Linked DNA regions of Caenorhabditis elegans. The protein of the gene in region 3 purifies or fractionates together with the protein of the main gene of each other region. This does not show direct contact. Each region holds a gene or a part of one and is shown on either strand. Other genes may lie near its edges.

Region 1 (4,210 bases), on a different chromosome or scaffold from region 3:
GGTTTAAATAATTTGTTAGATTATATTTTCAACAAATTAATAAATATTTTGGTTAAAAAAAAACTTGTTCAGTATCGTGAATTGTGGTTGCTGGAGAGCAAACTAAGCAATATTCTATACTCTTTTTTAACATCGTTTGAAAAATTGGTGAAAAATGAAATTTGCATTTTCAAACTTGACGTCCTACTTACAGCACAAAAAACGCTTAGGTAACTATCATATCTTGGCAAAATAATTACGATTTTAAAATGTTGCCGACGGAAAAATGTATTTTGAATTTTTAGTGATTTGTTAGTTGACTTTTTTTGAATCCTCTTACCGAAATGGAATAGATCCTCAAGAGGATAAAACCTCATATACATAAACTCGAAAAATAATCGGCCTATAACGTAATTGGCTCTGACTTTCAATTCACATAAAAATGTATCTAAACCTAATTCAGCAATGCTATTTTGTCTCCAAAATTGCATGTCTTTGTGTGACGCAATAGCAAAAAAAGCTTAGCTCATTTTTGTGCATTAAATGTGCTACAAAATCAAAAAAAAATCATTTATTCAATAAATTTAATCAGTTTTATTTATCAGTGTTTTTTCAGTGTCAATATGTTTTATATGGTATATCACTATAAAAATATACTTTCAGAATGGATCTTCGAACATTTGCTCTTGAGCTTTTGGTTCATTTGAAACTGCCGTATTTTCAATCTCGCTTTGTTTTTCCTGAAAATGCCAATATCAAATTAACAAATGTATGATATCAACTAATAACATACCGCCACCCTCTTCTTCTTCCTTTCCGAAATCTCGATATGTTGATGTGGAGCCAAGGCTTTTGTTGTTTGTGCACTCTTCTGTTTTGCTCTTTCCAATTCAAATGAGTCAGTCATTTGACTAATTACTGTGTTTAAGAACTTCTTCCAGACGTCTGTGATTTGAGATGTGGTGTAGTTTTGAGCAAATCGCACTTTTTTGTTCTCTTTTCCTTCTGATGATGGAAGCTCCTAAAATCATATTTGTTGGGTGAAAAGGTTTTTTGTTTTACGAGGGGAGATTATGAACTTTTTTAGAAAAAAAAACCAATTTAATTTAAACAATCTTATTTCGAATAGGTATCTACAAGAATTTATAGGAAGAGGATCACAAAGAACTAAAAAATCCGATCTGAAGTAACATTTAAAAATACTTATTTGAAAATATTATTCTAATTTTTTGAAAAAACCCGCAACTATTTTGCCCAACTGGATCAAAAATTGCACCTTTTTTAAAAAGAAAAACAAACATTTTTTTGAAAACAGCTCAAGTAATTTCCTCGCTCACAAACATCCTAATCTACGTTCGGGAAAATTTTCAAAATGCTTCTCGACCGCAAAATTTCTTTTTCGAATTATATAGATTTTTTCAGAAATCAAGCTCAATTAATTCCTTTATTAGAAAATAATTTGATTGAGTTGTACTCCAAATAAACCTTCCAACAAATCAATTAGTTGAACTTTCAAACTAGCTTGACCTAACTGATCCCACAATCTCACCTGTTCACCCGTCAGAAATGGAATTAATCGCTCGATAAATACATTTATAACAATTTCGAAATAGTTCTTCTCCATCTGGTTCTGATTTTGTTCCAAGAAACTGAAAAATCATCAAATGGCATTGGACTATATAATCATACAAAGTGACGGCATTTGCACCTGCGCACTTACCCTTGTCTGACATGACTTCTTCCCGTTTTTCGTACCAATTGCCATGCACCCGTCAGATTTTCAGACGTGCCAAGCATTGACGTGAGCTGGAATAATAAATTTGAGTTCAAAAAATACTCTTAAAAATGTAGTTTAGACAGCTAACCTGCTCCATGAACTCATAGAATCTTAGAATATGCCCTCCGAATTTCGGCATTTTCAGCATCGCGGCTCGCGGAGCCCGATCCACGCCAAACACTTTCTTGAGGTCCGGTTCAATATCATTGACAATATCTAAGAATATAAGACCAACAATATCCTTCGGATCATCTAGCCTTTGCCAAGTTTCACGTAACAGAGTACGGTCTTTTTTATTGAGGGCTAAGTCAAATGGATTTTCAGATTCGTTTCCGACCCAAGATGCTCCGACTTGCTGGAAAATAATTTTTTAAAATGTTCTGTGCGTCTTTAAAGAGTACTGTAGTTCTCTATTCTTATGTACTGTTTTTTTGAAAAGAATGTAAAAAATCCAAAAATTTTTGAGAAATGTTCATCTTCCGAATCAAGCTCAAAACTCACGGTTTTTTTCTTTTTCGGTGCACATAATGTGGCACCCATTGAAAATATATAGATTTATAACGATACTTGTTTTATTAAAAATCTTAAGCACAACTTCTCATCACCTCAATCAGGAAATGTTCTGAAAATTTGAAATTGAAAGACTCTGAAAAAGGAGAAGGAGTGAGTAAACATGAAGAAGACAAATTGAATAAGCCTCAATTATGACGTGGCAATGGAATGATGATTGGATTTTTTGTGTGTTGAAGTAGTCATAAAACGGAAGACGGCTGATTTTTTATGGGATGACGGGGAACAGAGCAACATAAATTCGCGTTCACAAGGCTGAAAACTAATTTGAATTTTGGCTTAAATTGTGGAAATGGCCAGTTAGATCTTGGAAATCAAATAAATCCTAACTGAAAATTTAGCCATATTCATTGTGGAAAAAATTAGATTTTTTAGGGTTAATAATTTTGTTTTGAAAAGATCTCAAACTTTTCCTATGACCCAAAGCATAATAAAAAACTGTAGATTTTGAGAAATCTTTTAAATCTAATTTGCCTTGTTTAAAATGCTTCCAAGCAGTATAATTTTTGTGGGGACCTATTAAAATGAGCTTTTTTGAAAATCCTAATTTTCGATGAAACATTTAAAAAAATCGAAACTTTTCCTTGTCAGCTTAACACTTAAATTTGTCAAAATCTGAGACTAGACTTGAGTTTTCTCGGGGATCTTTTCCGAAAGAAAAGACGCATATCAAAAATCAGTGTTCTTCTTCCCAAAAACTTATAGAAAGTATGAATATAACCAAATGATTGCTTTAAAAAAGTGAGAAGAAGGCAGAAGAGGGAAAAATACGAAGAAGTGGGATAAACAAAGTGACAAAAAACTGCGAAATTATAGTAGAGAGTTCTGACAAGAAATAATAAGGGAAGAGAAGGAAGTAGGTGAACTATTGGTTTTTCGAATGTTAATGTTATAAATGTATTTATACGTAGGCTGTTTTATTACTTGTTAGAAGCTTGAACTCAAGATCCGGCGGGAAAAGTGTAACAGGTGCACGTAAAAGTTCAGTGGATCAAAGATTTCTGGAACGGGACAAAATTTGTGGAGTTTGAATTCAAGTTATTTTGGAACATAGTTTGCTGGTGGGGCAGATTTATAAACGGCAGTAGCAATTCATGGTCTACCGGCTTCCTAGTTTCTGGTTATTTTCTCAAATTTTTGATTTTTGCCCATTTAATTTTTTTAAACATTTTCACTTCAAATTTTGTTAAACCACGGTATTTTAAGTCCACAATTGAATTTTTAAAGAATTTATCAGAAATGTTGGTTAATCTCCAAAATCGTTCTCCGCTCTCAAAAACCAAAGTGGACGTTTGCCTCCAAAAAAATGGAGAAAAAATGAAATTGCGATTTTTGGGTTGAAATTTATATTTTTTAAAAGCTGAGAACATGTTATACACGAATACTATGTCCATTTTGACACCCAGAATATCTGAAAATATCTAAAAATTGAAGCATGAATATTTTCAGAAATTTCCAGTTAATTTGTAAAAATCGGAAATATTAAAACTGCAGATTTCATGAACAAAAATAGTCTGAAATTTGTATAGAAAACAATTCAATCTTTCAAATTCAAGCACCCGCATTGCAGAAAATAATCAATTCTCATGCTCAACTAGATAGTTTTGCTATAGTTTTTGATCAGAAATTTGATTGTTTTCACTTTGCTTGCCGCTCTCCAAATTCCAAAAGTTCTGACTTCCAAGAAAAATTGAAAAAGAAAAAAAAAGAGAAATATTTAATTTTCCAGGAATTTTTTTTGTTGATTTTTTGAAAACGAGAATTGAAACAAGTATGGAAGAAAAATAGGCATAATCTTACTTGAAACTCAAAAATTTTCCTCTAGGTTACACCTAATTAAAACCTGTTCCTTCTGATATAACAGAAACCTTAACAAAACGTGAA
Region 2 (4,337 bases), 640 kb from region 3:
TGAAAGCTACATGCATAGATAGACGAGGAGGAGACTGGTGCCAAAAAATGGCAAACAGGTGAGATTCACTGGAAATTTAGGGAAAAAAAGAGATTAAAACAGACACATATTTATAACCAACTTTAAAACATTTTCGAGACCGGCAAAAATATGAATCTTGAGGAATGACACTAGAAAACTTGAAAAATTATAAATAAGACTTGAGCATAAAGTTATTGATACCTTTGTATTTTTGCTAAGCAAATTCCATTTTGTATAACACAATTAAATCAGAAAAAAATTATAAAACCTCCACTACACTACAATTGCTTCAGAGAGAACTATTGGCAAGACGCAAGTTTCAGCACAATTGGTGGTTGTGGTGCTTTTCCGTCGGCATTCCGAGAGTGTCGAAATACATGTGGATATTGTTCAGCAACAATGCAAATGACTGTTGTTAAATATGACTATCGACTGGCAACAAGCACACCACGATGTGATATTAAAACATATTTTGCCAGGACGGATGTTGAAATGAAAAAGCGATACAATCCGGCTAAGAAAGGTGAGTGGAGATATATATTAATAAAAAATAGCATTATACATTTTCCAAAAATTGCTCAAAGTTTCACGCGAACAGAAAAATGACTCACAATTTAATACAGGTTTAGTTAGTCAAATGACGTCTTGGAAGCTTTTTTTGTGACTGCATCGAAAAATAATACTCGAGCGAAGATGAATAAAATTTTTAAATTATTTTAGAAACGTTGAGAATTGGCCGGTGGATGACTGAATATGTAGCTAATCAAACTGCCTATGAAAAATGAAATACAATGATTTTTAAAAGAAAATATTGCATGTTAATATGACCTTCCAAAAATTGTACAGAAATTTCCAGAATTCGACCCACTTGCCCGACTAATATGGAAAAGGCCAAAAGACACCGATTACTTCGTTGTTGAAGATCACAATTACGAGGATTTTATGTAATTATATAAATCTATTTTAATACATGTTACGATACTCAGAATTTATAAAGTTGTTTTAAAATTTATGAATAGAAAAAAAAACATTTTAAAAATGATCAATATAAAATGGGGAAACAATGCAAGCGAACAGAAAAATGCATCGGTGAGCACTACCAAAAACCGATAACAACAGTGCGCTCTCTCCGTGTGGTGATGATGATGACGTGGCAATACGATAATAAATCTGAAAACAAGGGAGAGAGGGGTTAGAGGTTATATCGTATCTCTTTTCATTTTCTTTTGTATATTTGATAAGATTAATGCTATATAAGGATATCACAGGATTCAAAGAATTCTGTTCACTTTTCCCAATCGATTCTAGAACCTGCCCTTTGTTCTGTCTTACGTGTTTTTTCCACACAAGCTTTGCTTCCTTTTTCACCATTTTGCGTAACATTGCAACGCGTCTGCTGCCTAAAATCGGCTATTAAAATGTCATTTTATCAACTAGATCTCCCCAATATCTCTTCCTTTTCCAATTTCGTCATGTTTTCTGTTAACTTTCTTGCTGAAAACTGTTTTTTTTTGTATTTTTTGAATCCTTAATTAACAGTTTACTTAACAGTTTTATTAAGCTTTTCAATTTCAAAGTATACATGACCAAAAACGAGTGAATATGGACACTTGATTATTATCAGTTATCAGTATCACGGTTTTGTTATCAAGCGCAGTGTTTTGGCCCCTTTCTCTCTCTCCCTCTCTCGTCCTTACTTCATGTGTTTGCATAGTATTGATAACTTGTTCGTGTTGTCAGGAATCGGTGGTCAGCGGTCACTATTAAGCACTCTTACTTCTTTCTTGTTTAGATTTTTCTCAAAATGTCGACTTTTTTTTTGACAAACTAAGCTTTCAGATACACACTGAAAATGAAGATCGGATTTATTGGAGCTGGAAAAATGGCTCAGGCTCTTGCCAGAGGCCTCATCAACTCAGGTAAACATTATTGGTTTCAGAAATTATTGATTTCAATTGCTAATCTTGGGAACTGTTTTTATAAATCCAAAGCCTGAAAGTATACTAAAACTCGAAACCTAGTCTATAATAAAGTTGCTTCATAAAGCACGTAGAAGTAATTTTTTCTAGGAACTGGTATTGGTAACAGCAAACAGTCCAATTAAAGCTAAGTACAGATTAAATTACAGATTTTGTTAGATCTAGCAAGTCAAATGTTTATGAGTTCTGTTAATATTACTGTCAACTACTGAGTACAATTAAAAGTTCAAAATTAAAATTTGTTAAAAATTAATTATGCCATGCATAACCAATTCCAAACTAACACCTCGCAAAATTGCAGGCAGAATCACAGCAGACAACATTATTGCCAGTTCGCCAAAACGCGATGAAGTGTTCCTTGACCAATGCAAGGCACTAGGGTTGAACACTACTCATGATAATGCTGAAGTTGTGCAAAAAAGTGATGTTGTGTTTCTTGCCGTCAAGCCAGTGCACGTGAGCAAAGTTGCTTCTGAAATCGCTCCAGCCCTTAGCAAAGAACATTTGGTAGTTTCTATTGCACTTGGAATCACTATAAGAAATATTGAATCGGTAGGCTTACTTAATTGAATAGATTACTCGGTGATATTGAAATTTCTAGCTTCTCCCAACGAAATCTCGAGTGGTACGTGTCATGCCAAATACCCCATCAGTTGTTCGCGCCGGTGCATCAGCGTTCGCCATGGGATCTGCTTGTCGTGATGGCGACGCCGAAACTGTAGAGAAACTCTTGAGCACTGTTGGTTTTGCAGTGGAGGTTCCAGAAATTCATATCGACCCAGTAACAGGACTCTCCGGCTCTGGACCAAGTTATGTAAGTACAATAAAACTTTGAAATTTCAAAAATGTAATAATCTTTTTGTAGATGTTCGCTGTGATCGAAGGGCTTGCTGACGGCGGTGTTAAAGTTGGACTTCCACGTGACCTTGCTCTGAAGCTTGCGGCTTATACTTTACTTGGAGCCGCAAAGATGGTTCTAGAAACTGGTATTCATCCAGCTCAGTTGAAGGATGACGTTCAAAGTCCTGCAGGTTCATCAGTATATGGAATGCACAAATTGGAGAGTGGAGGGCTCAAGGTACATACCGTGATGCGATAGAGAGATGATGCTTTAGTTTCAATGAGCATAGTACATGATTAGAATAGGGTCACTTGGCCTGATAAAAATGTGATCACGTTACAGGGTGTTCTTATGGATGCTGTCGAGGCGGCTACAAACCGGTCAAGGGCTACTGGAGACAAGGCGTTGCCAAGAGACTTCCGAAATACCGAGATGTGAATATAAGAGACTTACACATTCATCGTTGTTCTCTAATTTTGTCCAATTTTATTTATCTATCTCTTTCTCATTCTCTTGACCGCTCTTTAATTTATTTTCCTGTCCTCCCGCCCACCTATCCTTTGTTACGCAAAAAACGTGCCTTCCCAATATGTTCCCCTTGCTCCTAAAACAGGTGTCTGCATGTAATCCGGAAATAGACCAAAAGTAAACTCAGATTTTAATATGGTTAACACATGTATTAATACACAATTTAGCAGATTTAGTTCTAAGTTAGAATAATTTTTGTGGTCTCTCCTTTTTACCTTTTGTTTACTTTCGTTAAAGCTAAGGAGGTGAAAGCTGGAATTTCATATAGCTAAATTTCAGAGAAACGGAAAAAATGATGGAAAGTGCACAACAACAAAGGACATGATAAATTCGCACAAATTTTATTTCATTTATTTTAATTTCGGATTTGAAATATCTGGAAATACGTATTTCATTTAGGCATATTGTCTCTAATAAAATAACCAATCAAAAAAAATTTGAATAATATTACAAGAACATTTTTTAAAAGTTTTACAAGCGTGAAAAAAACTATTTATACTGACTACAGCGCATGCAATAAAGTTGTGCAGAAAATTTACAAATTTCCCTGTCAAAAAATTTTAAGTTTTAGACACCGGACGGTTCAATTTTTGCATTTATTTTTTTTTTTTCGTATGTAATTAAATTAAATAACTTGTTTTTACAAGGCCAAGAAAGTTGTTGTTACGGTATAATCTAGCGTCTCTCAGATATTGGACAGAATCAAGAAGCTTTTTATAGCTCTCTAAAAGTGTTTTTAATCACAATTTTGAAGCTAATGTTGTTGTATTTAACTTCTGGTCTTATTCTGACTTCTAAAAAAATCATTAAAAATTGTATGAATCTTCCTAATATGGTTTAAACAAATTTTGTGATATGACTTGCACTTGGAATTGGTACAATTTCAGAGTCAGTGTGAAAAATTTGCCCATAAGATCACATAAACTCACATAAACTTTTTTCAATTCGAATATTTCGCAAAAAAAAAA
Region 3 (6,843 bases):
ATACACAATCTGTTGAATAATTTAGTGTTTTTTTTTCAATACCAGTACCTTACAAGCATCGTTCTTGTTACAACAAAAAATTTGGTACGGGAAGAGGACCAGGAGAAAACAGTTAGAGAGTTGATTCTAAACTGATCTGACGCCATCTTGCAAAATAATTCATTTAGCATTCATTTAATTATTCAAAAGTGCGGAAAATAGGTAAAAACAGTTAAAATGAAACCATGCGGCGGAGTTGCGAAATGGCACGCCGAAAAATGCAGTTCCCGCATTCCTTGCGCGCCATCGTTGTGGATTAGAATGCAATATCCCATTATGTACCTTACCCTACAAAATATTCTGTGTTCTAAATTTTTGAACGTTTGATTTCGAAATTCATGATGTATCACAGCTGCAAAAATTGCAAGTTAGAAGAATAATTAAGCTATTTGTGTTCTGTGCAGTTTTTGTTCGAATGGCTGCATTTAGTCTAGACTTGAACATTTTTCAATGAGTGCAACAAATTTTAAATATCAAGTATTTCATGAAAAATTTATTGAATAAAATATATATTACTTCCTTGTTCTATACTTTGAAAGGCACGTACATACAAACAAAATGAGTCCCACAACCAGTTATTAATAAGTTAAACGTTTTCGTGTAATAAGTTCTGAAAAAACAATAGCTTATGCGGTAGCTTTCTTCAATTCTCCAGCAGCATCCAATGCTCTATAAACTTCGCTTGGGTTGAGATTCTCGTGAAGGTAAGAGTATTTTCCATTTTTGAAGTCTTCAACCAAATGTCCTTCTCCTCTCAACAACCATTTGGTGGTCAAAAGTCCTTCAACTCCAACTGGTCCACGAGCATGAATTCTTCCAGTAGAAATTCCAACTTCTGCTCCAAGACCAAATCTGTACCCGTCAGCAAATCTAGTGGAGGCATTATGGAATGCACACGCACTGTCTACGTGTTTCAGGAAGTGTTCGGCTGTGTTGGCTGAAAAAATAATTTTTGCATATTAATTGTTTTGTTTTTACTCGAAAAAAACAGGGCTTAGCTGCGTAATCTTAAATTTCAGTAAGCCGAACTCAAATGACTCACTGTTCTCTGTGATAATAGATTCAGTATGACCGGATCCGTAACGGATAATATGCGCAACCGCCTCTTCAACATTGTCAACAACTTCGAGCGTACACTCCAATGATCCATACTCGAATGACATGCTCTCTGCCGGTGGTGGGGCAAATTTCAGAAGAGCTGCAAGTTTTGGTCCGGCATGAAGCTTTACTCCTTCTGCCTTAAACATTGAGCACAAAGAATCAAAGAACGGCGCGGTTGCAAGATCCTTATGAATCAAAATAGTTTCAGCTGCATTGCACGCTGATGGATAATCGCATTTCGAGTCGCGAACAATTTGAATGGCCTTCTGCTCGTCACAGTCCTTGTCAATGTAAACGTGGCAAACACCTTCGGCGTGACCCAACACTGGAATTCCCTTGCTTTTTTCTTGCATTGAACGCACCAAGTCGGATGATCCTCTTGGAATGATCAAGTCGATAAGATCCTGCAAAAATGTTATGTTATGTTGTTTTGGTTCCGGATACAAATATTTACCTTGAGCTGAAGCAAATCCGCCACATCTTCTCTTGATCTGACCAAAGTAACCGCGTCCCTCATTTCAAATCCATGTGTTCCAAGAGCTTCCTGAACAAGAGCATGCAATGCTTTGTTGCTTTCTTCAGCTTCTTTTCCTCCCTTAAGAAGAAGTGCATTTCCTGAAGCCATAGCAAGTGAAGCGACTTGTGGAAGACAATCCGGGCGTGATTCGAAAATAACCATTAGGCTACCGATTGGAACAGTGACCTGCTCTAGAAATAGGCCCTCAGAAATTTTGACCTTCTTGAGAACTCTTCCAACAAGTGTCTCTGCGGAGTCGGCAATTGTATTAAGGCCAGCATGCAAGTCTTGAATCTTCTCTGGTGTCATTTTCAATCTATTCAGGAGTTGTGGATCGAGTCCAGCAGATTTGGCATTGGCAAGATCAGTTTGATTAGCTTCGATGATATATTTTTCCTTGTCAACCAGGAGAGCAGCGAGGTGGCGAACCATTGCACCACGTTCTTTGTTGGAAAGAGCAGCTAGTTGACGACCAGCGTCGCGGCCTAAAAGTAGAAAAATTGAGTGATTAAAAACATTCATAGGACTAAAGTTTTTTTAAAACCAGTATAACATACATTTCTCTGCGACCTCCTCGATTGGTGGTCCTTCATACCCCTTGGTGTTGCAGAACATGGTTCCGATCTTCTTTCCCGCCACAGCATCGGTGATAGCATCTTGCGCGAGCCCATTTGTAATAACTGTGGTAACTCCGTTGTTAAGAGCGTTTACACAGGCCGTAACCTTGCTCTCCATTCCTCCTGTTCCAAATTTGCTGTTTGCTCCAAACGTGACCCCCGAGTTTTCAGATGGAACGTATGTGTAGAGAAGTCTAGATCCTTCGAGATCTGGTGGTCCAGTATAAACTCCATTGACGTTCGATAAAATTATAAGTAGCTCTGCTTCAATTTCAGCGGAAAGCCTCGCAGCAAGTGAGTCATTGTCGGAAATATGCTAAAAGTTCAAAAAAGGTAAAAATTATTGAAAAAGAGCGTGATGTCATGCGGCAATTATACACAACAATGTAGCTCACTTAACTTCCTTCCTGGTCAACTGGACGGACGAACTCACCATATTCAACTTTGGATCTGGTGCCACTGCGTCATTTGCGTTGACAATTGGGATAATGTTGAGTGAAAGAAGGCTTTCAATTGTAGCCTGTAGATTCTTTCTTCTTTGATCATCATCGATGTCTGGCTTGGTCAATAAGACTTGTGCTACAGTAATACCGTATTGTTGGAAAAGTTGTTCATAAAGAGACATGAGTCCCGGCATTCCAGATGCTGCACACGCTCTTTTATCAGCAGTCATTCCAGATGGACCTCTACAAAATATTCTCATGGATTATACCTATTTGGAACTGGAAATTTATTAAAAATTTTAACCAGTAGAAAAAACACAAAACTAAAACTAAAAACGGCTAATATATTCAATGGGTATGGCCCGCTGAAAATGTTTTTGTAAAACAATCTATCATTTTTTAACTCACCTGAGAGTTTGTCGCATGCTCATGCTCATTACAAGTTCTTGCCGAAGTTTTTGTCTTCCGAATGCCACAGCACCTGATGACACAATAAGCATCTGTCTTCCAGACTGTTGGAGCTCGGAAACCTAAAATGTTTATTGAACATTGAAAATTATATTACCACATATGTTTGTGTGTTTTTTCTCCAAAATCTTAATCTTCTTATCAGGGTTTCACAGTTTAGGAAGTGGGAAGTAGGTATTTTCAAATTTTCATTAACCTAAATGTAAATGTTTTTCGGTAATCTTAGTATTTTTTGTTTGAATATTTATTCCTATTCTCTTTCAACGTAGTTAAGTAAAATATTCTTCCTGAATTCTATATGCGACATTCAAAATCAGGTGTTATCTGTACATTTCTAATTTTTGGACAACCCCCAATCATCAAGTAACGAAATTTTCCAACTTCACCTTAGATAAAATCAAATTCAAAAGCGTAAGTGAACCAAGGATTTGTTGTCTTTTTGCTGTTTGTGGTATTAGTTTTTTTTTGAAGAATATATTTTCTTTTTCAAATTCTTTGAATAAGAAGCTTAATTTAAAAAAAACTGACTTCCAGAAAAACGAGGCTACAGGTGAATTCCCACAATTCAGAAATTTGGAAGTAAAAATTCAAAATTCAGAGTTTTCTTGTTATGCTGGTTTGCTGATATCTCATCTGACTTGGTAATGAGTCGAAATTGAGTCAAAATTGTACTATTTTATTCAAAAATATAAGGAAAATTTGACACGATATTGTCTTGTTTTTGTAATTGCAATTTAGTATCATTTTTATTTTTTTTTCAAAGCTCATTTGTTCACATTTTTGTTGTCTTAAATTTTTTGTTCAAGTTTTTCATATTGCGTGAAATAAAAAATGTAGGTAATACTAAAAAGCATACAACTTCCCGAAATAGCATTACATAATTGGAGGCTTTTTCTTCCTCTTCTCGTTCCCAATAAACTTTCAAACTGACCTGTTCAACAATTGAAGCCAATCGTCCAAGTGCGAGACCACACTCGTCCTCACGTGTGATCACTGCACTTCCGAGCTTCACAACAACTCTTTGCGCTTTTTTCAAGTCATTTCTCGTGTTGATGAGTGGATGCTTCTGCCTTGTCTTTGTGCTGTAACTATTAATCGGAATTCGTTGCTAGGTGTACTTTCGTTGACTCGAACCCTTATCAGTTTTGATTTGGGTAGAGACAACTGTGAATCCACGAATAAATCGTTGATACCTTGACGTTATTTCATTTTCATTCAAACTCAGATTAGAAAGATGAGCGTGCGATTTAAGAACGATTCCAGTTAAAAACTAGAGATTTCTGTTTCTCAGCTCACAATTCAATAGATAACTTCTTAGCTTGAGCTACTTTTGAGTTGTTCTAAGAAATATATCTTAACATGACTACATTATACGATGTGGTATTATAGCGGAAATTCGTAATTTTGTATTCTGCTTCTAATGAATTTTCGAGATTAAAAAACGATACTGATAGTTTAGTTTCATTTTAATTCTTAAGTTTTTTGTTTTGAATAATGCTTCCTCATTCACGTTATAATATTTGTGTGGTAAATGTTTACATGTCCTTTCCTAGACCTGAAAATTTAAGATATTCTTCCGAATTTATTTATATCCGGCCAGAGTTGCCAAAATGGAAAATGTTCTTAAATTTTAAAAGTCACCCAAACCAAAACATATTTTATAAATAAATTATGTGTGTTCAACTTTAAAAAAATACTAGAGATGGGGGGGGGGGGGGGGGGAAGGGGTAACGAATGAACCTTGGATCAGCTCTTAGGCTCGGTGAAAACTATATTTTTTTCTGCGGAAAATTTTGAAAACTGGTTTCACACATATTTAGGTTTATTTTAGCCACACTCACTCACCAGTAATTTCCATTTCCAACTCCAACTGGAGTTGCTCCTACTGCTGTGATTGGGCTTACTTTCTCGTATGGTGCCAATGCTGATGATCTCGTTTTAATAAGTTCCGTCTGCAACTCCTTGTTTTTAATTTTAAAGAGGTATTGTAGTTTTACCTGTGTTGGGCGGAGAATATTAATATGCGAGTTTCTGAGTGGAAGTCGCAGACATCGAGTTGCGCGGAACATCTTGAGTTTGAGTGTCTATAAATTTGAAATAAAAAACTGAAAAGTAGGAAGTCAAAAAAAATTTTGGAAATAAAGAAATCAAGTACAATGTTTAAAGAGTTACCTGCATTTTTAAAGTATTTAAGAATCCGTTAGGCCAAAGAAAAACGTTAGTTTAGTACTACAAACGATTTCAATTCTTAATCTTAAACTCTGTTATTCACGAATTTTTATAGCTAAACTATTATGCCCTATTGCACCACATTCTGAAACAAAGACAGTTGTAAAAAATAGCGAGAGGCAGAAAAAGAAGAATTTTTACAAGCGGGGGATGACCCTAAGCGATATGGAGAAACAAACGTTGTGATTTTACTCCCCCTAGTCATCGTATATCTTCCTTCTTTCCTCCACGCAGCAATCCGGTTCCGCAGTCCGTTACCCACGTCCCCCCCCCCCCACCTCACGATTTTTAATTTCCCCGTTCAATTTGCAATTGATAATCACCAGACCTATCCTTGTAGAGGACACACGGTGAAAGTGGTGCCACGTCCTCTATTTTTTTTGAATCCTGTTCAGAGAACATGAATGGCATTCACGTGAAAAGGTTCAAGGTTCGGAATGTGGGATTGGTACAAAATGCGAAAACGTTTCGGGTACAACTGATAAGAGACAGGAGTAACTTTAGAGCCAATAAGTTAAAATTGAGAGGACTTGGTACTTAGATTGGATATTTTGTTGAATGCAATCAAAAGAATACACTTAAGTCATATTTCTCCAGACTTTGATAATTTAGAAACTGGATTATTTTTTAACTAATACCAGCGATAATTTCATCTGTTATTATCAAAAAAACTACAAGCCGAAATTTGAATTTAGCAGAGCACCTAGACCGCTGTTTTGATTTTGCATTTTACCCCTTGAATTTTACCGATTACCAGCCAATTTGAGAAAAAAAAAACGAATTTGCGCAGGGATAAATTTCATAATGCAGTTTTTTTTGCATCTGGCTAGATTTTCTACGGTGAATCTGGAAAACTGTTGCATTTTCTCAATATTATGGATAATTTATGATTGTTTTTATTTTTCCGCATATCATGTTAACACAGTCAGCTTATTTAAAAATTCACCATGCATATGTAGTGGTGGTTTTATTGTTGAAATTCTACATTATCCCATCGGCTGGTTTTTATGAAAACAGAATTTCAAGAAAAACTTCCTTAAACTAGTAGGGATTAAACATTTTGAAACAAGAGATGTTTCAATTAGTTCAAAGAATCACACCCCTCAGAAATATTATCATTTTGCACGCACTTTACATTAGGTTTCAAAATAATTTGTCTATCTGTCAGACATGACTAGAAACTGGATTGTATTTTTGTTAAAATAACACAACATTGAAAATAGACCGAATTCGAATGTTGAAGTAAAAAAAAGGAAAATAAAAAGGAAAAACTTAAAAAAAATTAAATAAATTGGATTGTGGTCAACACCATATGACTATACTAGACGAATGTGAGTTGGGTCACTCCTCAAACGCCACAATTCGTGCTTTCCGATAAGATAACAGTGTCAGGCTCAGTGTTGCTCGACTCCGCCCCTGTTGTCTGTGG

What was found. The genes of interacting proteins can lie anywhere in the genome.
Region 1: the proteins of alh-13 (region 3) and glb-12 fractionate together in Caenorhabditis elegans (co-fractionation; one large-scale study listed by BioGRID). This does not show direct contact.
Region 2: the proteins of alh-13 (region 3) and pycr-1 fractionate together in Caenorhabditis elegans (co-fractionation; one large-scale study listed by BioGRID). This does not show direct contact.

The regions. Positions count from the first base shown.
Region 1 is NC_003280.10:10,729,267-10,733,476, forward strand, and holds glb-12 (GLOBIN domain-containing protein), read right to left. Parts: upstream 2,387-4,210; 5' UTR 2,297-2,386; coding exon 2,258-2,296; intron 2,112-2,257; coding exon 1,845-2,111; intron 1,786-1,844; coding exon 1,700-1,785; intron 1,629-1,699; coding exon 1,529-1,628; intron 1,001-1,528; coding exon 773-1,000; intron 720-772; coding exon 639-719; 3' UTR 538-638; downstream 1-537.
Region 2 is NC_003284.9:12,144,972-12,149,308, forward strand, and holds pycr-1 (Pyrroline-5-carboxylate reductase), read left to right. Parts: upstream 1-1,860; 5' UTR 1,861-1,873; coding exon 1,874-1,940; intron 1,941-2,301; coding exon 2,302-2,552; intron 2,553-2,601; coding exon 2,602-2,814; intron 2,815-2,865; coding exon 2,866-3,078; intron 3,079-3,183; coding exon 3,184-3,275; intron 3,276-3,648; coding exon 3,649-3,694; 3' UTR 3,695-3,800; downstream 3,801-4,337. Other genes in the region: M153.5 (ShKT domain-containing protein), read left to right, coding at 1-58, 315-544, 878-969.
Region 3 is NC_003284.9:12,780,822-12,787,664, reverse strand, and holds alh-13 (Glutamate 5-kinase), read right to left. Parts: upstream 5,272-6,843; 5' UTR 5,255-5,271; coding exon 5,183-5,254; intron 5,138-5,182; coding exon 5,031-5,137; intron 4,274-5,030; coding exon 4,117-4,273; intron 3,248-4,116; coding exon 3,126-3,247; intron 2,961-3,125; coding exon 2,708-2,960; intron 2,591-2,707; coding exon 2,215-2,590; intron 2,143-2,214; coding exon 1,595-2,142; intron 1,545-1,594; coding exon 1,082-1,544; intron 977-1,081; coding exon 666-976; 3' UTR 518-665; downstream 1-517.